Linked DNA regions of Bombyx mori. The main gene of each other region encodes a partner of the protein of the gene in region 2 in a complex. Links are inferred from orthologs where the notes say so. Each region holds a gene or a part of one and is shown on either strand. Other genes may lie near its edges.

The links. The genes of interacting proteins can lie anywhere in the genome.
Region 1: the proteins of origin recognition complex subunit 3 (region 2) and origin recognition complex subunit 4 are in contact, whole or in part, in a crystal structure (PDB 4XGC), measured with the Drosophila melanogaster proteins. The link is inferred for Bombyx mori from reciprocal best matches to the Drosophila melanogaster genes Orc3 and Orc4. Residues at the interface, in NP_476904.1 of Drosophila melanogaster: Ala217, His250, Gly251, Leu253, Pro254, Tyr255, His256; in NP_477320.1 of Drosophila melanogaster: Lys395, Glu398, His399, Ile402, Lys419, Lys422.
Region 3: the proteins of origin recognition complex subunit 3 (region 2) and ORC5 are in contact, whole or in part, in a crystal structure (PDB 4XGC), measured with the Drosophila melanogaster proteins. The link is inferred for Bombyx mori from reciprocal best matches to the Drosophila melanogaster genes Orc3 and Orc5. Residues at the interface, in NP_476904.1 of Drosophila melanogaster: Ile105, Gln107, Leu140, Lys141, Val144, Cys183, Thr184, Met185, Lys186, Gln187, Glu213, Cys214, Asp222, Leu225, Ile226, His230, Ala243, Thr244, His250, Tyr255, Ser258, Ser259, Arg262, Leu263, Ala270, Pro272, His302, Ile303, Leu305, Tyr306; in NP_477132.1 of Drosophila melanogaster: Ile72, Glu73, Tyr75, Ile79, Glu82, Asp86, Asp94, Arg130, Tyr291, Met292, Arg293, Ile294, Glu295, Leu319, Glu320, Leu321, Pro322, Tyr323, Tyr324, Ala325, Asp383, Leu386, Ala387, Tyr390, Val397, Leu399, Thr400, Cys401, Asn402, Leu403.

Annotation. Positions count from the first base shown.
Region 1 is NC_085108.1:2,850,527-2,857,752, reverse strand, and holds the start of origin recognition complex subunit 4, read left to right. Parts: upstream 1-3,399; 5' UTR 3,400-3,545; coding exon 3,546-3,755; intron 3,756-4,417; coding exon 4,418-4,543; intron 4,544-5,140; coding exon 5,141-5,363; intron 5,364-6,202; coding exon 6,203-6,427; intron 6,428-7,226.
Region 2 is NC_085128.1:8,981,781-8,989,036, forward strand, and holds the start of origin recognition complex subunit 3, read left to right. Parts: upstream 1-2,357; 5' UTR 2,358-2,870; coding exon 2,871-2,897; intron 2,898-2,990; coding exon 2,991-3,137; intron 3,138-3,774; exon of another isoform or gene 3,775-3,780; coding exon 3,781-3,959; intron 3,960-4,376; coding exon 4,377-4,479; intron 4,480-5,993; coding exon 5,994-6,211; intron 6,212-6,577; coding exon 6,578-6,725; intron 6,726-7,256.
Region 3 is NC_085126.1:11,150,791-11,157,517, forward strand, and holds ORC5 (origin recognition complex subunit 5), read right to left. Parts: upstream 3,039-6,727; 5' UTR 2,967-3,038; coding exon 1,584-2,966; 3' UTR 1,528-1,583; downstream 1-1,527. Other genes in the region: cyclic AMP-regulated protein, read left to right, coding at 1,149-1,278, 3,360-3,476; probable aminopeptidase NPEPL1, read right to left, coding at 6,723-6,727. UniProt on the Drosophila melanogaster protein: Component of the origin recognition complex (ORC) that binds origins of replication. DNA-binding is ATP-dependent, however specific DNA sequences that define origins of replication have not been identified so far.

The DNA.
Region 1 (7,226 bases), on a different chromosome or scaffold from region 2:
CATATGTTGACAAAAGACAAAACTTTATCCGTGATAAAAGAAAAGAAAATACTATAAACCTAAGAACAACTCAACATAAGGATGGTTTTCAACAAGGATCGATAGTGACTGCACAAACACAGCATAGCATAGAAAGTAAAATATACAAATAAAAAAAACCTGGAAATAAAATTTGCCAGTAGTCGAGTCGTAAGAGCTAAACTACAAATAATAACTAGAAGACGAGGCCCATGTGTTCTAAACTTGTTGGTTTACATTATTTACTTTATTTTAATAGATAATTATTTACACTGATGTATAAACAATTAACAATTTTTTACACTCAAAAGTCGTCTATTATCAAAGGTGGCAATCTGTGCATTTGGACAAAAAAAATTATTGATATGTCAATACAGATTGATTTGAATATAATCGTCTCCTTCAAAGAATACGGTTCAAAACCTGCATTAAATAAAGGTTAATAGTTAACCTGTTATTTATCTAAGATGTCGTTCCGAAGAGTTTTGTGACTGCCAATGGAATACAAAGTCAATAATTCGTTTTTCTGATTTACCAATCATTGTCCAAAAGTCAGATTGCCGGCTTTGATAATAGTCGACTCATTTAAAGGTCATTCCAGACTTAAGACCACACAAACAAACAAACTTATACTATGATCCCAGGAATGGGCTGATCAAATATGGATAGCTGGTATGTTATATGCTGGTGAAGTAAAGAGATATACCAGTGAAGTCTCTCACTAAAATCTTGGCTCTCAAAAAACAAAACTCCATAAATTCTAGACTTGTTTAAACATCTAAAGCCAGACTAATAGTTTCCTACCAAATATGGCTAGGCAGGGAGAGAATGGGGAGAATGAAGATAAGTATAATGAACATAGATAGGGGCTCCTTAAATTTACGCTAGGGTCACAAATCCAGTGTCATTCTCAACCTCCTCTCTCAATAACACAATGGACCTGTGTAGTGAATCCATAAATTGTTAGTTTTATTTATTAGTCTCATATGTATCACAATAGTAAGAATGTTGTGTGTGGACTTTTATGCATGGAAAACAAACAGTCATAATACAATGCATAAAACAGGACTTACAAAATATAAAAGTTAATATTCTAGCCTACATACTTGCCTGTAAATTAAATGGAACAATGCGTTATTGGCTTGTGGATGATTCATAATTTTAATTAATCTGCACATAACATAGTCTCGACTGCAACATAAACTTTTATAATTTAATATTATTTTGTTTTACATTGTATCTTATGGCTGTTTGTTATCAATGTTTGTGGTCCCAAACAAGTTTATTTTGAAAACAAACTGTTGTAAACAATTCAGACCTGCCAATGCTATGCTTAACAACGGTGTTGTAATCTTACAACATAATGAAAATTGAAATAATACGCCACCTATCTGCTATACTTACTTTGAAATAGAAAACTGAAAATATCCTGGCTGAATAATTAATTAGTACAGGAGCTTGAAAATCGGCACACACGACAAAGCAGTGATCTGTGTCTCTAAGTTTCAAATCTTTTAGTCTAATACAATCGATCAACAAACACTTTTGTAAAACTATTTTTAAAAGACCATCGTGATAAGGCTCTCTAAACTCAAGTTCTTTGTGAATAAAATCTATACAAATGACACTTATTTTGTGTCTGTTGGATCATCTATGAATAAACATCAAGAAAGACAAAGAAAAAGATATTGTCAGTTAAATCAAAAAACTATCTCTGAACAGGTAGATACACAAATAATCTGTTCATTGCGTGCCTCAAACCATCTTCAAAATATTTTCTAAGTTTGGATCGATAGTGTTGTCCAATAGCTAAATTTCCTAATAATATAATACTATTTCACTTACTGATCTGAGTGAGACATCAATTTATATTAAGCTAAAAGAGTAACGTATCGATTCACTAAACACCGGTTTGCTGTGAAATTGCGGCATTGACTTTGAATAGTGGCCTTGAATGAATGCGGGTATGAGAATTCATGTCTGAAGGTAAACTTTGTGCATATTTTGGTGCTATGATGAAAATGTAATCATATTAATGATTCTGGCGTTAAGCTTAAATACTATAACTTACAATTTTTAAGCTTAAAGCAATATTGACTTCCTCTATTTAGGTACTTCTTTTTTTATAAAATTCAAAGCTGTGCCAAATTGCTGCTGCACTATAACATAATAATTTATAATACAAATTACATTGTGATTATTTAGGGCTCGTGTCTTGTGCGAATTTGCTAAATGAATTTAAGTGGTTGAAACCTGCTGCACTAATTAAAAACTCTCATTTCGGAAAACGCACGACGCTGCATCTATAATTCTGATATTCACATTGTTTTTCGAAAATATTTTCACTTTTTTCCATAAATGGTTGGGTGTTCAGCTACAATCCACGGTGCAATTTTTATAGTTAATAAACGAACGAATACGAAATAAAATTTTGAAAAACTTTGGTTTGTTCACTTTTTAAGTATAATTTTTTACGATCAACTTCTTAAGAAACAAATTGAATTAATTTCCAGATTGTCCCAATTTTCAATAATATGAACGGGTACACAAAAACCGTGGAATTTAAGGTCATGACGAGGACTAAAGATTTATTTTTAGAAATCGTCAAAATGCGAGAACGGGACAATACGAAGTTTTAGGCAATGTACACGAGAATTAAATCCAGGGATATGAATACAAATATTTCTTTGATCGGTTCAAGTTCACACGTTCTCCTATATTCATATGAAGAATACTTGTAACTACTATAAAGTGCTTAAATACTTAAGTTCAATAAATATTTCACGTTATAAGTTTTTAATTCTTAAGGGTGTGAACTAAAAATGTAACTATTTGTTAGAAGAAATTCGGAGCTATATCTCGATTTTCTTGTTATCATATGTTTCATTTAGTCTATTGATTAGATTTCACGAGCATGCGCTCTTTTACTTTCATGCCATAGACATTTTAAGAAGTATCATCTACTTTAAAAATTAACGTGCATACTCCTGAGTTACAAACACTTTTCTTTCATTTAAAAGAGTCACTGAGTACTTGCAACGTACAAGACTTAAAATTGACGCTATTATCTATTTTATTTAAACAGAACGAAACATGCCAATTTATTTTCAAAGTTTCTTTTCGATACATCATAAAAGCCATATTTACTTGTAAACTCAGCTTTATGCACATTTATAAACTAGGAGCAAAGTAGACAAAACGGGTGAATACGATTTAATCTCAAAATGTGTAGTTGACATACTTAGTATGGAGGGTAGAAATATCTTTACCTCCGTAATACTTAGTAGACTATGGTGAACAATCAGTAATCTCAAATATATTAAGTGTATAATCTATGGTGATTATTGAAGGACATCTCTAATTGACAGTGTCAACTGTCATGCTGTTTGATGTTTCTTGGGATGACATTTTATGCCGCGAAAATTTCTTTTTGAACTCATTTTAAATATTTATTAAATAATTTTATGCTTCGATGTATAAAGCTAAAACACTTCACAAAATAATCATAAATAACATTGTCTGAGAAAATGCGTGGATCAATGGATACAGACCCGTTGGCTATTCAAATAAAACTTGTAAGGAAGTACATAAAATTGAAATTAATAGAAGACAATGTATTGTTTCGGGGGCACGACCAGGAAAGAAATCATGTGTACGAATTATTAAGAAGAACTGTCTTACAAGGAGAATCGCATTCGGCTTTACTTATAGGGCCGAGAAGTAGTGGAAAAACCACTGTAAGTTCTTGTGCTTCAATATACAATTCGCGGATTTAATTTACAATATTTTTAAATTGTTTTATGTCCACCAGCTTAGCACAATATAGGTGATTGTGGCCGCTCTCAGCTCTTCATGTGACAGATACATATGTGATAGATAGGTATATATAATGCAGCAAGATTTAAGAGTGGTATGGTTTACTGTCAGTCTATTTGGGTAGGTATGTTGGATTCTGCCTATTTTTTATGAAGTAGCAGTGCATTCCAGCGTGGAAGCTAGGATGATTGTCAAACAATACAATTCTGAATTCTACCTGACCCATGAATGATATTTTTGTTCAGATCCCATCACTTTTATTATTTTCTTTATATTTTCTTTAATAATGTATTGCTAGTAGTACATAGCAACATACCTGCTATATCTTTATCTTTTCCAGAATTTCTGTATAGTTAAGTGGCTGTCTGGAAGAGATCTCTTGATGATGAGATGATAAGATTTGTACAAATGGATCTGCTTGTTGACTGTTTTCTATTGTTAATTGTGTTTTGGTGTGCATATAAAGTATATTCTCTCTCTCTCACTTTCTAGTTACAATTTAATATAAGGTGAAGCAAGGGCCTCTGTACAGAAAATGTTATCTGTTGTGACCTTTCAATAATGGTAAAACATTTCATTTCAGCTACTAAACTCGGTACTTCACCAGCTCTCTAGAGAGACAGATTTGGAGAATGATGCTATTATAATTCAACTGAATGGCCTTGTACATAGTGATGATAAACTGGCCCTTAAAGCTATCACAGCGCAGGTGATTGAGGCCTTTTTATGAATCTAATAAAAATGTCAAAAAGAATTCTATTAATGTTTGTTCAATTGTATTCCTGTATAGCAGGAAAGGTTTTTCTATTATATTTTGTTCTGAATAGGATAGTGAATTGTACTTAACTAAAGACCATTGTGTGTAATAGACTAGACCAGTGTTTCCCAACGTGGTGCCCATAGCCTACAAGTTGGCAATTTGATAATTAAGAAGGGCAATTGCATTAAATCAATAAAGAAAATTGTATTGAAATTATTTTATTATGCTAAAATTATGTATGGGGGGCATAAAAAATTTAAAAATGTTACAGTGGGGCATGGCACAAAAAAGGTTGGGAAACACTGGACTAGACTGTAATAATATGATAAACATGGTGGTTGACTCTTCACTAATGCATTGGATATGAGAAAAAAATCTGTAGCCAAGGTCTTGGTAGGGGGACAACACAATGGCAAAACCTTGGCCACTTTTGAAGCTTGACTACTGGTGTCTTAACCACAGTATAATTAAAGGCAGGCTTAACTAATCTGAATTAAATTGAAGCCTCACCAACTAAGATGGACTCACCTACACTATTCTTTACAGATGCAATTAGAAAATACTGTGGGTGAACGAGTTTTCGGTACCTTTGCCGAGAACCTCTCGTTTTTGTTAAGCTGCATCCAGACTGGTGTTGACAGACGATGTCGAAGCATGGTATTCATTCTAGACCAGTGTGACATGTTTTGCCACAGCGGTATCTCCCAGACATTACTGTATAACTTATTTGACGTAACTCATTCACAGACGGCTCCTATGTGTGTTATCGGTAAGTTCGCTGAGATTGTTTTTGTTGTTTTTCTCAGAATATGTTATAATATACGATTGAGACTGGCCTTTGGCATCACTGTGGTGATGGCATTAACATTGCTACAGTCCTTGCTTATCCTTTAATACATGTTGTGTAGGTTATCCATCATAGGCATTAAAATGCGACTTAATCTGCTTGTCACGTTTTAAAATTAATAATGTATCTTCACTTCATACTATCACACATCTATACTAATATATAAATCTACAGTGGTTTTTACGGATGTTCCATTATAACTACTGAACCATGCGTTCGATTGACATGAAAATTGGTATCCATGTAGAAAATACATGTACTTAATGGATAGGCTAATATTTATATGAGTGTTGGACTTACTGGTGGTAGGACCTCTTGTGAGTCCGCACGGGTAGGTACCACCACCCTGCCTATTTCTGCCGTGAAGCAGTAATGCGTTTCGGTTTGAAGGGTGGGGCAGCCGTTGTAACTATACTGAGACCTTAGAACTTATCTCAAGGTGGGTGGCGCATTTACGTTATAGACGTCTATGGGCTCCAGTAACCACTTAACACCAGGTGGCTGTGAGCTCGTCCACCCATCTAAGCAATAAATAAAAAAAATAAAAAAAACTTCCTACACCAGTTGCGGGGGCGTTAATGACGAGAATCTTTCTGGGGGTGAGAAATAATAATAATGCCTAGCTAGTCTTAAATATATTTGGTATTTGATGCCTACTTGTTTCTATGTGTCTTTCCATTACCATTAACACAGGAGAAATCCTTGCTCGAAGATGTTAAATCTTCATTTCATTAAATATCATGCTTCCTTACTGTGCACAGGTGTAACAAATCGCTTAGACATTATGGAGTTGTTTGAAAAAAGGGTCAAATCCCGTTTTTCCCATCGTCACATATTCATATTTCCTAATGAAGTCAATGATGATGACCGGTATGATATTATCTCGCCTCTGGAAGGGAGAAAGAGATTGTTTGTGGAATTGCTGAGTCTGCCCCTGGAGGGTTCTGTGTCGCCGAGGAAGAAAAGAAAATCAAGGAAGTCCATCGGTGAGCTAATATAATTGCTTACGTGATATTCTATACTAGATTATATTTCATCCCACTGCATTGAATGCGTGTCCGCACATGCCGCCTCATGCTTTGTCGCCGGAGAAGCAGTGGCCGGAAATCTAATATTTGTAAAGTAGATAATAAGTTTTGCTTACACATTGTTATTAGATACCTAGTTTTTTTTTTTCTGTATAGAAGGAAAGATGAATTAATTAATAATAATAATAATGATTAATAATGACTTTTTATTTTTTTATTGTTTATTTGGGTGGACGAGCTCAGAGCCCTCCTGGTGTTAAGTGGTTATTGGAGCCCATATACATCTACGATGTAAATGCGCCACCCACCTTGAGATATAAGTTCTAAGGTCTCAAGTTTAGTTACAACAGCTGCTCCGCCCTTCAAACCGAAACGCATTACTGCTTCACGGCAGAAATAGGCAGGGCGGTGCTACCTACTCGCGCGGACCCACAAGGAGTCCTACCACCAGTAATTACGCAAATTATAATTTTGCGGCTTTAATTTTTATTGCACGATGTTATTCCTTCACTCTTCACCGTGGAAGTCGATCGAGAACATTTGTTGAGTACGTATTTCATTAGAAAAATTGGTACCCGCCTGCGGGATTCGAACACCGGTGCATCGCTCGATACGAATGCACCGGACGTCTTATCCTTTAGGCCACGACGACTGTAAAATTAATGAACGAGCGAATGAATTTATGAATGAGACAAACAAATTTCACAGGTCTAGTCACTTTTGTTTTATAGAATACGATTTCCTTAATATTTTAAAT
Region 2 (7,256 bases):
CCTTATATTAAGTTATATATTATATTATATTATATTATATTATATTATATTATATTACGTTTATATTAAGTCTACTAGTTACATTTTAATAAATAAAACACAATGGGTAATAAAATGAAATGAACTGAAATTAATTTATTTGTTATATGTAGACAATTAAATAACTCTTAAATGACAAGTCAATACACATAACACAATACACATAGTACTTGATCTCTATTTACAAAATATTGGTTATATTATTATTATTAAGTTCAGTTAATTTTCTGTAGTCTTATTAGCCAGATATTGTTTCTTTTTATTTGTGTTTTTTATGTATCTTTAGCTTGTGATGTGTATTGTGAGCCTAATAAAATAAATAAATAATATAACATTTCCCCTATTTTATGTAAATTCTTTTTTTTTCAACGAAATAAATAATTTATTTTAGTCAATATCTAAGTGGACCATGAGTATCATTAAAATTTCGCAATTTAAATTTCAATTCAATTAAAAATCGCCATTTTTCTTTAATAAATCTAAAATCGACTTTATATTTACAATCACTATTTCGCGACTTTTAAGTTTTTGTTTCAAAACCTTAACATCTTGTCGTAATTTTGCTTTTCTCGGGGCATTTTTTATTTCTTGCGTTTGAGTACTTGATTCCTCTTGTTTGACCTTTATATAGGACATTTTCCAGAAATTCCAACGTCATATTTACTAGAAGATCCTCCTCGTTCGCTTGACGTCAGGCAAATGATATACATGCTTGCGTGCGACGCTATTCAATACAATAAACAAAGTCAAAAAAATACCACGTGATTCCTCTTATAATATGAAAAATACATTGCAAAATTATAGTTTTTCACGATTGTTTTTTCAAATTTAATATATGACATAGATTAAGTACAATTTACAAGACAAATGGTATTAAATATTATTATGAGAAAAAATATCTAACATTTTAAAAATATATACTCACACTAGTAAAAATTTATCAATGAATCTGATATATGGAAGGATATTCCACAAACTGGAGAGGATTCTCGCTTAAAACCACTTACAATACAAGTGTTCGCCATGATTACACGGAAACTTTCACGATTTTCGGAAAAAAACAAGCCACAAGCTGTATCAGTGCCCTTTTAACTTCGAACTACAAACGTAAATAGACGCCATTTTTCTTTTAATCCATTCATAGCTCTTTTTCGGTGATGCCAACAATTAATCTGGCTTCCCATGAAAACCATCAGAAATCTACTTACCTACCATTAAATTTTCCATTAAACAGAGTTCTTATTAATATAGAACAATATTTTTTTTGTTAATGAGCTTTATTAATATATGATGTTCTAATAAAAATCAATATATATCATATAATCAATACTTCTTATATAATTTATTTTAATAAATTGTCATCATCAGCAACTAATTTCACCATGACTTTGTACGTTTCTTTTGAACCAATTTAATTTTTGACGTTGATGGAAATTCTAAATTCTCGCAGCATTTTCTAGTTAAGTTTAAGTCACATCGTTTAAATAATATGTATTTAGATATATTATTGTCATAAAATGTTTAAAATCCTGTAAAGTGGATTGATTTTAACCTTTTCGATAATTTTCAACAACGCCCTAAAGGATAAGACGTCCGGTGCATTCGTATGAAGCGATGCACCGGTGTTCGAATCCCGCAGGCGGGTACCAATTTTTCTAATGAAATACGCACTCAACAAATGTTAACGATTGACTTCCACGGTGAAGGAATAACATCGTGTAATAAAAATTAAACCCGCAAAATTATAATTTGCGTAATTACTGGTGGTAGGACCTCTTGGGAGTCCACACGGGTAGGTACCACCACCCCACCTATTTCCGCCGTGAAGCAGTAATGCGTTTCGGTTCGAAGGGTGGGGTAGCCGTTGTAGCTGTACTGAGACCTTAGAACTTGTATCTCGAGGTGGGTGGCGCATTTACGTTGTAGATGTCTATGGGTTCCGGTAGCCACTTGACATCAGGTGGGCTGTGAGCTCGTCCACCTATCTAAGCAATAAAAAAAAAGCCCAAGCTACTACTGATACTACTGATAACTAAGACAGGGGTCCAAATTACGAGATTTTGTGGAAAATCCTCTAAGCTAGCAACACTGCTTTTTGTTTGTAAAATGTGCGAGAGGGACACCACCACTTAATAGTCATTCTCTTTTCAGACCGTTTTTCCTTACATCTTTTGCTATTTAAAAATAAACTTTAAGCCATAGAGATAAAGTATATTTTTAGTTTTTATGTCAAACGAAGTAAGCACTCCAGTTAGAATAGTAACTCTATGGAAATCTCAAATAAATTATATGTTTAATCTATGACTGAAATTAAAAAGGTTAAACCAGACTTTTTGGCGGGAACGCGAGGAGTGCAGTTGTGTGATTTGTTTTATTTTGTCTATTTAGTGTTTCTTCGGGTTTAAATGTGTAATAATGGTGGTTTATTAACTGTTTAATATCTGTGAAAGTGCACAAATGTGGGAAAATGAAACAAAGCTGCTGGACGTAACTTCTCGGGTTCCTCCAAAAAGTCCACTGAAAAAATCTCAGTAAATGACCACCATTTTACTGCGATTATATTTCATCCCATATCATCTCATTAAATTTCATCCCAGTTGATTAATGTCTCAAATCAATCATCTTCATTTCATTTCACTCCATATTATCATTTTTCATAAAATAAGATTATAAATTAAAATAAGACATGACTTAAAGGTCTTAGTTACCAGGTCATAAAATCTTTTAAAAAAAAAAAGGTTAAACCAGGTTAAACATTGTTTTTTTCGGTTTTGTACTACAGTTTAATATTCTATGAAGAAAGATTATTATAGAATTAAGAACGGAATTCAATGGAATCCACTGTGTCAGTTTCAAAGGTAAAGTATTTTTTTTATTTACTGCTTAAAAGTAATGAAATATTACTGTTTGAGAGATAGAATAATTAATTTTAATTGTTTTTCAAATTACAGGGAGTGTTTTTATTTCCAAATGGATTTCAAAACTCGAAAACTCTTTCAAAGAAAAAAACAAATTTATTGTTTTGTAAATTATTTCAAGAAGAGTGTTGGTATCTTACTTATAGAAAAAATTGGGAAGCTATTAAAACTAAATTAAATGTAAGTTGAATTCAGAAAATACTGAAAAGCTGTTCGGTCATACAGCCATGAAAAAAAACTTTGTCTTGTAAAAACTTATACAGTTATGTCTTAAGCTTCAATTAAGAGCTACTAAAGATAACTATAATTCAGGAGACTACTAAATATTGTTATTTCCATATTTAAAAAAAATCATACAACTCTTTTGTGTCTTTTATTGTAGCCTTTTCATAGATTTTTAATTTGATGTAAAGCAAAAATTGGAGTAGTAGTAAATTGTGGTAGTTACTATTTTCAAATGTGTCCTGAATACATCTAAACCATCAAAACCCTAGCAGCAGATTGAACTCAGGTCACTTTATACCTATAGTAACCTACCCAACTTATAGTATCACCTTAATGAGCTTCTCATCCATTGTTGTTGCCATAAATGTTACTTTCTATAAGTAATTGTTTATACTATGTGTACCTGGCCTTAGTTGTTTTGATTTTGCTCCAGTGATTTTATTACTTGGATATTTTAACTTTCAATTCCAACAATAGTTGGATAATTCAGAATATTGAATAAGGCTTGTGCATTGATTTTTTTATATTAAGTGCTGCTTATTCTTACATGAATAAGGAATAAAACATTTTTCAACATGTATGTGTATATCTTTTAAAGGAACTCAATCAAAGGTCTTACAGTGTGCTGTTGAATGATATAGTAAATTATATAAAGCAGTTTTATGGAAGTGAAGAAGCATTTATGTTGGAAGGAATAATTCCTAGCGCAACACTACTAACTGGGGTTAGTCAGCCTGATCATGTATCACAATTTGATGCACTCATAAATATAATAAAGTAAGTGGTGCCAACTATAATAATTGCATGTAGCCAAATGAGCAAATATTAATAGCTGTAATATATTAAGACTAAAAGTATATAGTATGATAAAATGAAATATGGAGATAAAAATGAATGAAATAAAATTCAGGATACAGTTATTTGAAAATTCAAATTGATGATAAATTACAATTGCATTTATTACCACACCATGTTTATTTATTTGCTTTTAATATCATATGCCTACAGATTAAGCATAGCAAAGTTTCATTGTCTACTACACATTTACTTAATTTTAGGACTGAAAGAAAAATTAAAGAAATAGCCTAAATAAGACTTGCTCAATCCCGAACCATAAACCTCATAAACTGGTAGTCATAATCAGTTCATTCCGGAATGCAAGGGACTGTTTATTAACTTTAAAAATTCTTACAGAGATGAAATAAGTCCTCATGTGGCAATAGTTAATTCACAAGATTCGTTATCATTAAAACATATAGTTGAGAACATGGTTTGGCAGTTGATTGGGAATGATTTAGTAAGTGATGTCAATCTATTTAGAAATGTTTTTGTAACACCAATATATTTTACTAGTTGTATTGTGACTTCTATGAGATATGTAAGTGGCTTACAGGCTAACAACAGAGAGACAACTCTTTCATCACAGTGCTTGGTATCAAAGTACTGGATCGAGATACTGCCAAGTTGACATTTAAAATGTTGGTAGTTCTGAATAGAACCAAGAAGCACACCTGCATACAGACCTATGTCATATAAATCCCATGTTCATCTCACATGAATTACATAGCAGCTACTTTCATTTGACTCATTACATAAGGTCATTTGTTTTTATAAATGGTTTGAATCATCAGGATCTATGAAAGCTCTTTAGCTCTCTGTTTATCGTATGATTCATAGGGAGTGCTCTGAGGATTTTTTGTTTTTATCGCCTGTAGGCGCAAAAGCATACAGCTGGTGAGTGATTACCGTCATTCATAGACATCAGCACTGCCAGGACAGAGTTTGCTAGAGGCAGCCACTCCCTACAAGTTTGAGATGATCTGGTCATCTTTATGCCATCATACTGCCGTGACTGGAGCAGAGCTCTCCTATATTATCTAGAATCACTGCGTTTATCCCTAGTGCGTTTCCAATGATATTTTTCGGCACTTACCGTACAGCTTTGGAATGAAATTGTCTACACAATAATTCCTGATTACTATGACATGCTCTTCTTCGAGTGAAGTTTAAGGAAAGGACTCGGCAGTAGTTGTGCCTTTGACATTGCTAAAGTTCGCGAGCGACGCGGCGACGGCGACAAAAGCAATAAAAAAAGAAACTGAATAATTTAATTTTTCTCCTACCTATGCCGAAAGTTCGGTTTTCTTCCCGCTGTACATGGAAGAAATAGTAACTTTTCCTCCCTGGGTACAAGTGCGCATGCGCGTTAGTGTCTACGTCTGCTCTCACGCACCTATAATTCTCCGTCATTGTTGTGCTCGGGTAATTTGCAATATTGTGTTTAGTGTAAAAGTGAAGTAAACTAAAGGCAATAAAATATAATAGTGAAGTATTAAACAAAGATGAATTCATCAGACAGTTCTTATTCAATTAGTAGTACTTTATTTAAAAATTAAAAAACAGTTAAATTGTTTTGTTATGAGTATGAGGGGGCTCCGCCCCCCTTACCTCCTGCCAGGGCTTCGCCTCTGGACCCCGGCTCGGTACTCCACGAACTTTCGGCCTGGTAGGAGAAAAAATAGTATGTGCACCGCGGGAAAAAAGTAGGGCATCTCATCCCGCGTGTTTGCCTCTTTTCTTCATTGTATTTGTTTTGTATTAAAATTTGTATATGAAATCTTTACATTTTTTTTAGTTTTATAATTTTCTATTCTAATGTTTATTACAAATAAAGTTTCGTAAATTATTAATAAGAGTCAAAGTAACTGCGACCCGCCAAAAAAAATTAAAATTTGAATTGGACCATTGATTAAAAACGTTGCTCACCCTTGTTATAATGTAATGTTTACTGTTATTTGTTTCTGTTTGCAGAAAAATGACGAAGAATGCGATGTATTATCAACAAAACATAAATTAAAAAAGAGTCAATGTACAATGAAAACCCTGAAAACGTGGTACCATTCAAAATATACAAATGAATCTACTAATAAGAAGAAAAAATCAATTTCGACAAAGACATTAGTAATAGTAATACCTGATTTTGAAAGCTTTAATTGTCACTTGTTACAAGATTTTGTAATGATAATAAGGTAAAAGTATTTTTACTAACTTCATATATATCAAATTCATGTAATGGAAACTAAAAATTGAAATCAATATTTAAATCTACATCATTACTCACAGTAGTAGATTATTATGATAGTAGTATAGTATAGTAATAGTTATAGATACAATTAAATTAAGAGTTCGATCGCATGTATAGTGGCGTCAGTCACTTAATTTCATAAGAAATATAGTAAGATTAGTAAGCTATCTGCTGTAAAATAAGAAAAATATATAATTACAATAGTAGAAATATGTCAAAAAAAGTATTACAATTTCTACTGGTAATAAATATAGTTTTAAATGAATGTCTAATATAGTATAATATAAAATAGTTACTCAATTTATTTCAGTTCGTACATATCTTCCTTGCCCATAGTGCTTGTTTTTGGGGTGGCAACATCTGTTTCGGCATTGCACAAGTCTTTCCCATATGAGGTGTCATCGAAACTTTTAATAAAAGTTTTTCATTCACATTCGTCTGCGGTTTATATGAATCAGGTTAGTTTGTTGCTTCTCTTCTTTCTTTAGATAATAATCTAAGAAGGAACTGGAACATATTTTTTTGGCAGTGTTAACTAATAAACATGGGTGGATAGTTATAGAAATTTTAGACGTTATAGAAGGAACAGATGTTAAGCATTGCCTGCTTGCTTGTTTTGAAATGAAAAGTGCAAGCGATGATACACATTCAGCTTTTAAAATAGAAAATAATACTCAAATGGATTCTCGGACCCGATTTTAATATAAATTGAACAGGCGTGATCAGTTTTTTATTTGAATGTTAACCATGTTATTTGTTTAGCTGGAAATTATTTTTACTTTGCCATAAATGTCTAAAGGTTAATCTAATGAATAAAAATATTTTTTTTCATTACACGCAGCTAATGGAACATTGTGAGGTATTTGATTTACGTGGGATATAAAGGTGGCTTTGTCTATGTATATTGGCACCTATCAATGTTCTGGCTTGGACAAAATCTCCCAACTGGAATAAGAAACGGAACATCTCAATCTTGCCAGACTATAATT
Region 3 (6,727 bases), on a different chromosome or scaffold from region 2:
CAGAGCGAAGCGGTATTTCACGCCTGGACAAAGACTTTTGCTTTATAAAGCACAAGTCCGGCCTCGCGTGGAGTACTGTTCCCATCTCTGGGCCGGGGCTCCCAAATACCAGCTTCTTCCATTTGACTCCATACAGAGGAGGGCCGTTCGAATCGTCGATAATCCCATTCTCGCGGATCGTTTGGAACCTTTGGGTCTGCGGAGGGACTTCGGTTCCCTCTGTAGTTTGTACCGAATGTTCCATGGGGAGTGCTCTGAGGAATTGTTCGAGATGATACCGGCATCTCGTTTTTACCATCGCACCGCCCGCCACCGGAGTAGAGTTCATCCATACTACCTGGAGCCACTGCGGTCATCGACAGTGCGTTTCCAGAGGTCTTTTCTGCCACGTACCATCCGGCTATGGAATGAGCTCCCCTCCACGGTGTTTCCCGAGCGCTATGACATGTCCTTCTTTAAAAGAGGCTTGTGGAGAGTATTAAGCGATAGGCAGCGGCTTGGCTCTGCCCCTGGCATTGCTGAAGTCCATGGGCGACGGTAACCACTCACCATCAGGTGGGCCGTATGCTCGTCTGCCTACAAGGGCAATAAAAAAAAAAAAAAAAAAAATTCTCAAACCTCCAACAAACTTTCACGACCAGATGAATAATACCAGGGACACATGCGACACATCTACCACCCAACCCCAAGCTGGGATTCTTTTTTTGAGGGATTACTGGTGGCCCGGAGGCCTTTCCAGTTTCACCAGGACAGGTGGGCGAGCACGCGCTCAGCCAAGAGGGGTGGGATTTACTAACAGCTACCCGAGCGCCTCCAAAGGAGACCTAACCACTCGACAGTAGCTGCTTCGTGAATGAATTTTTGTATTTTTAAGTTATTTAAATTTTTTTGTGGGTAATTTCTTTCTGAATTCCTTAGCTTTTTTTGAAAAATATGTAAAATTAAGCTCAGCACCAAAGTGATTATTAATAATGATTGAGGCGCCGAGTGATCGGAAACTATAAATAATTGGAGACGTGGTTAATAAGAAATACAAAAACCGCGTGATAAATCGGTAAAAAGAGTTCTAATTAAGTCTTGGCTCGCGTAGTCCAACAGATGTGTGTTGCATTACACATATTTGTTTTAATAAATTTTTTGGACTGAAGGTTGCAGATGGGAGACGAGATGTCTAAACGCAAGAAATTTATGTTCATGACGTGGGTAGGACCGAACGTGTCTGTGATCAACCGAGCCAAGATGTCCACCGACAAAGCTATCATCAAGGACATCATATCGGTTCGTATAAGCCCATTTTATTTTTGGATAAGTTCTTCCCCCGCGTGCTTACAGCTTCTTTTTGTTCAATCCTAAACATCTCCCTAAATTAATCACGAAATTGAAAAAAAAATTATCAAAAAAATTGTTCCGAATTGCAGGATGTGCCAGCTATTTTAATAATACGGATTGGACTTTGACCTCATTTTTCAAATTGGTTGGAACCATGGACCATGAGCTCATTTACCCATATAAGTACTAAAAATCAAATTGTTTCAGAAAAATGTTTATTAGAGAAATATGTATCGCAACTTGACAGCAATACATCAAATAAAATCATACAAATATTTTCTAATGTTAAAACCGACAGTCTGAGCAATGGCTGAAATGAAATCATAGCCAACAATACATTTATATTTTGCTGTATCTAAATCTATCTCTTTGCTTCCCGCTATCAATTTTAGCTCAACTAATGTCGCTATTTGTGCCAACAGATTGCTGGTTAAACCGATCTTATCTTCTAAGATAGCATAGAATATTGCCAACAATCGATCTAAAGTAAAAACTTTAGGACCGAGCTGTGTACTTAATTTTTCATTAATTTTAGCCTTTGCTTTGATTTGTCTCATTTGTTTACGTTGTTTCCCGTGGTTCTTCATAAACAATCTCTTGTCTTCTTTGGGCGGATTGTAGCTAGCCAAATATGCTGCAATTAGTAAGTATTTCGCAAAGTATGGTAGTTCGAAGCTTTGTGCAAATGTTTTTGTAGAAGAAAGTTCATCTTTTAACGTTTTCTCCAGACAGAATTCTTTGGCATATAAGCTTTCACTGTTTTCTTTACCCGGTGAAGGTTTGAATTGCCTCATATCACTAATTCTTAAGTATAAAAGTTCTAGGCTTGTTTTCAAGATTGGTGAGATGTGTCTCCACAATTTAGTTAGATCATTTGATTGTATTTCACCTTTTATGATTGGTTCACAGTATTTGATGAAGTTTAGGCGTGCCATATGCTTTAATTCAATAAGGTCTCGACATGGCCTATAGAATACACTCAAGAATGCATTCAAGAAGTTTGCAAATAACTCTGGTTTTTCAATTAGTTCTGTTGTTTCATCTTCTATGTCAAAATGGTTCAGCAAATGCTGTACAAATGATTTTTGGTAGAGAAATATTATCCTGAATAACTCTTCTTTGTTATAGTTAGGGAAGTAGAGTTTTATGGGCTCTCGTACACCGAATTTGAAATTAAAATTTTCGAATATCAAATGCGTCACCAATATCGTGCAGATGTTCAATTTACAAAATTCTCTAAGCTTTAGTAGCACTGGCAAGAGGTTCTGATCCATGTTGCGTAGTCTCTCGACTCTATCGAATACAATTACTATTGGTTCATAATTATTTTGAAGCCGGTTCAAACAGTTTATAAAATCCATGAAATTTTCACATTTCACGTCCTCGTCTTCATCGTTGAGGGCAGACAATATGTTCTCGAACATTATCTTTGACGAATAACACTCGATACAGTCGACAAATACATGTTTATAACTTAAATAATTGAGAACAGTTTGTAAGCATAACGTTTTGCCGGTTGCCATACTTCCACTTATAAAAATAGAACACGGCAATGGTTCGTTGTCATCTCCGAATAAATTGAACAAATCGTTTAACTGATTCTCTCTGCACACAACTTTACTGTATATTTCATCCATTTTAATATAATTTATTTTATTTACGTAAGCTTTTGTGTTAATTCAATTCTATAACGTATGTTCAGGTTTGACATTTTTGCGCACATTCCAATTTTGACAACTTTGAACTTTGTAAATTTCATTTGATAGTCTGTGCTTCAAATAAAGTGCCGGCTTAGTACGACGAATATTGAGAATCAAAAAAGATACCTACTTTAATTCGTTTTATTCGTAATTCATTTGGATTTAAAATTAATTATTAGAACCTTGTTTTATTAATATTTTATTATTATCAGACAGATATTGACAGACACAAATATATAAAAAAATAATTTGAAATTAGGAAGGTCTAGTTTCACTCACCTTTCAATTTCAATGCTAGTTCTCAATTAACTAGTTTTTATTATGTTTCAGAACTTTGCTGTGGAGTTGCAACTTGAAAATCAGTCTGAGATAGACATCGACCAATTCAAGGATGCACTCAATAGGGCAGGGGGAGCGAACTACGGCACTGGCGTTAGAGATTTATGAATAGAAAATGTTTGCCCCGCACTTGCCACATGGAATTTTAAACGAATATTGTCTCTTTCATTCTATTATATAAATAATGAGTGCAAAGATACAATATTATACATAAAAATATTTTACAAGTGGATTTTAGGACTTATATTTTAATTGGGGCCGTGGCTTGGCCATTTTTGTAGTCGAGCAATAATTCATTAGTCATTTTTATTATCTTGTGTCAAATTGATCACATTTTTAATCACGTATAGAAATTCATTATTTATTTTTCAAAAATACACATGTTATATAATATTCTTCAGTGTAGTTTTAATAAGGATTTACCAAATAAAAAGTAGATAATCTGTCGTGCATTTTAGTAAGCGCGGTGAACGCATTTATTTTTTACTTAAAATTTTTAAAAATCTTTAATACTAAATTGAATTTAATGTAAACAAGCTTTTTATACATTGACTAGTAATGTAAATTGATATCAATAAAACCATGATTTCCAATATATTTTTTGTTTCATTCCGGTGTGTCAGAAACTTTGAGTGTCGGCGTTTTCGTTTGCTTGCGATGTTTTTCAAATTATTGAAGACTAACGGAATGTTACTTTGGTAATAAATATTTCTACCAGAAGAGGAATCTGTTAAATACCCATCCATTTTCGTAGATTCAACTCATGTTCGCAAAGTCAGTATTTTCAACGACCATCATCATTTCACTAGGAAGTTTATAAGATATTTGAGGCGGTCAGCGCAAAAGTGCCTTAACCCACAATTCATATTCGTCTTTATGTATTGCAATTTATTTAATACATAATAAATTTTGATGCAAAATCGCCCAAGTTTCACACAGATAACAGATGCCTTTGTAAACATTATTTTTGGACGTATTTTTTGGCTGGCGAAGTATTGTAAAGATAAATTCAAATCTCAATATCTCCATAATAACTATGGTAAGCTTAGACCACTTTTGCGCTGACGGACCTCATTTATACTATACATTAACAGTAAGATATTTGCCGATGATAAGTACCTCTCAGCGGATCTACGCGTATCCTAGGTCATATCATACGGAATAAAACAACAATGGCTACCCAAATATTAAGTTTTTTATTTTGCAAAAAAAAAAGAATAAAATGTTAGAATAGTGATCGGTAATACCACATAGTTCCTTAATAAAAATATAAGGTGACACTGCGACTTGGTTCTGATGGAACACATTTATTTACTTATTACTAAAAAAAAAAATCTGCCTTTTAATTTGGCTACTAAATATATTCATGGTCTTTAATTGAAAAACAACAGATTTTTTATTTAATTCATCACATTAAGGCAATGAATCAGCAAGTGAATTATTTTTCAGATTTGAACAACAAATGAGTCGTCTATTATCAAAGGTGGCAATCTGTGCATTTGAACAAGAAAATGTTATTGATATGTCAATACAGATTGATTTGAATATAATCGTCTCCTTCAAAGAATACGGTTCAAAACCTGCATTAAATAAAGGTTAATACTTAACCTGTTATTTATCTAAGATCTCGTTCAGAAGAGTTTTGTGGCTGCCAATGGAATACAAAGTCAATAATTCGTTTTTCTGATTTACCAATAATTGTCCAAAAGTCACATTGCCGGCTTTGATAATAGTCGACTCAAATAGTTGAAGGATACACAAAACCCTGTATTCTAGATAAGCATTAAAATACTTCCCACGCTATTTTCACTTACAAATACATTAATATAGTACAACATTACATTTTGTATAAGTTGAACGAGATGGTAACAATTTTACAAACAACAGTTTTATTGTACATTAATTAAATTACTTAATATTGCTTATTCGTTTTATTTTAAGGCGCTTTTTCAATGCGGATCAAATGCATACAAAAATTATTAATGTTAAAATATTATCACCCCACATCGCTCATTTTGGAAGGTCGTTTAGAACAAAATTATGTTTGTACCTAAATAAATATAATGGATAATAATTATAAAAAAATAATAAAAAAAATCTGATTTTTGTTTAGTACTCTCTATTTTCTTAAGAAGCTCGTTGGTTCGCGTTGCTGGCAGCGACACTTCGCTACAGACCTTTTTTTTTTTATATTTACAGTAATTCCCCCTATTACACGGTAGATTGGTTCCGCGTTATAGGAAACGCGTTGTAGTATTCACAAAAAACGCTTTTGTATGACCCCATATAACGCGTTATATACAAAAAATATATATGTACATATATAATACAATAATGCCAATGTTTTTACAATTCAAAAACTAGGAACAAAAATTGAATAAATTAATTTAATTTATTTTTATAACAACACAATTGACACAATGTGCAAAGGTACGCCAAATTCATTATGAACTGTACAGATATTAAATTTCACAGTACAGAAATATAACGTTACAAATCCCAGCGTTATATGGGGGAATGCCCGTGTTATACTAGGGACTGAAATCGCGTTATATGAAAATACATTATAAGGGTACCGTGTTATAAGGGGCATTACTGTATATCTATGCGCTATATCGCTGTGTCATACAAAAAATCATACCGATGCTAAATTGAGGGTACGAACTGGTTTCAACGTCGCTATGGAACTCGGGCTGTGGTGAGCTCCGGTGATCACTGGTGATCACTTAACGCCAGTTGGGCCGTTACCTTGAGGCATGAGGTCTTCCAGCCCGGAAGGCATGCCAGCTTCCCGACCGATATGTGTCAGGTCGGGCCTCCCTACTACCGGCTACTGACATAGTCAATAACATGAACCAATGAACATTTTGACTGACTTAAAACAATATTATCAAAATCGATGCTGTACATTGCGTGCTGATTGAGCCCTTTGAAACTTCGGGTTATAATCAGAGCGGCCGTGTACGTGGCGCGGGATCGCGTAACTTGACACATTTTCTTCTTTCAAATGCCTTTTAATATTAGATTTTGAGATATTAAACAATATTATTTTCATCGACGTACTATACTTATCGACATTCAAAGTACGTGTTTCTGTATCCTTAGCGACGCGGTCTCTGGACATCATCTACTGTCGCACGCATGCCAGCGTTAGAGTGTCAGGATGGTTTTATTCATAAAATAACCAATAAAGTTAATTATTATGCTTACTATAAAATAGATTTATAAAAAACTATAAATTGTACCTAATTTGTTGTTTCTCCACCGTAACCCGGTCCCGTACGTCCGGGCGTTTCTTTTGATTAGTGTACTCACACGCGTGGGCGATGAGCACCGGTGACCCTGGGGCGGTGCTCACA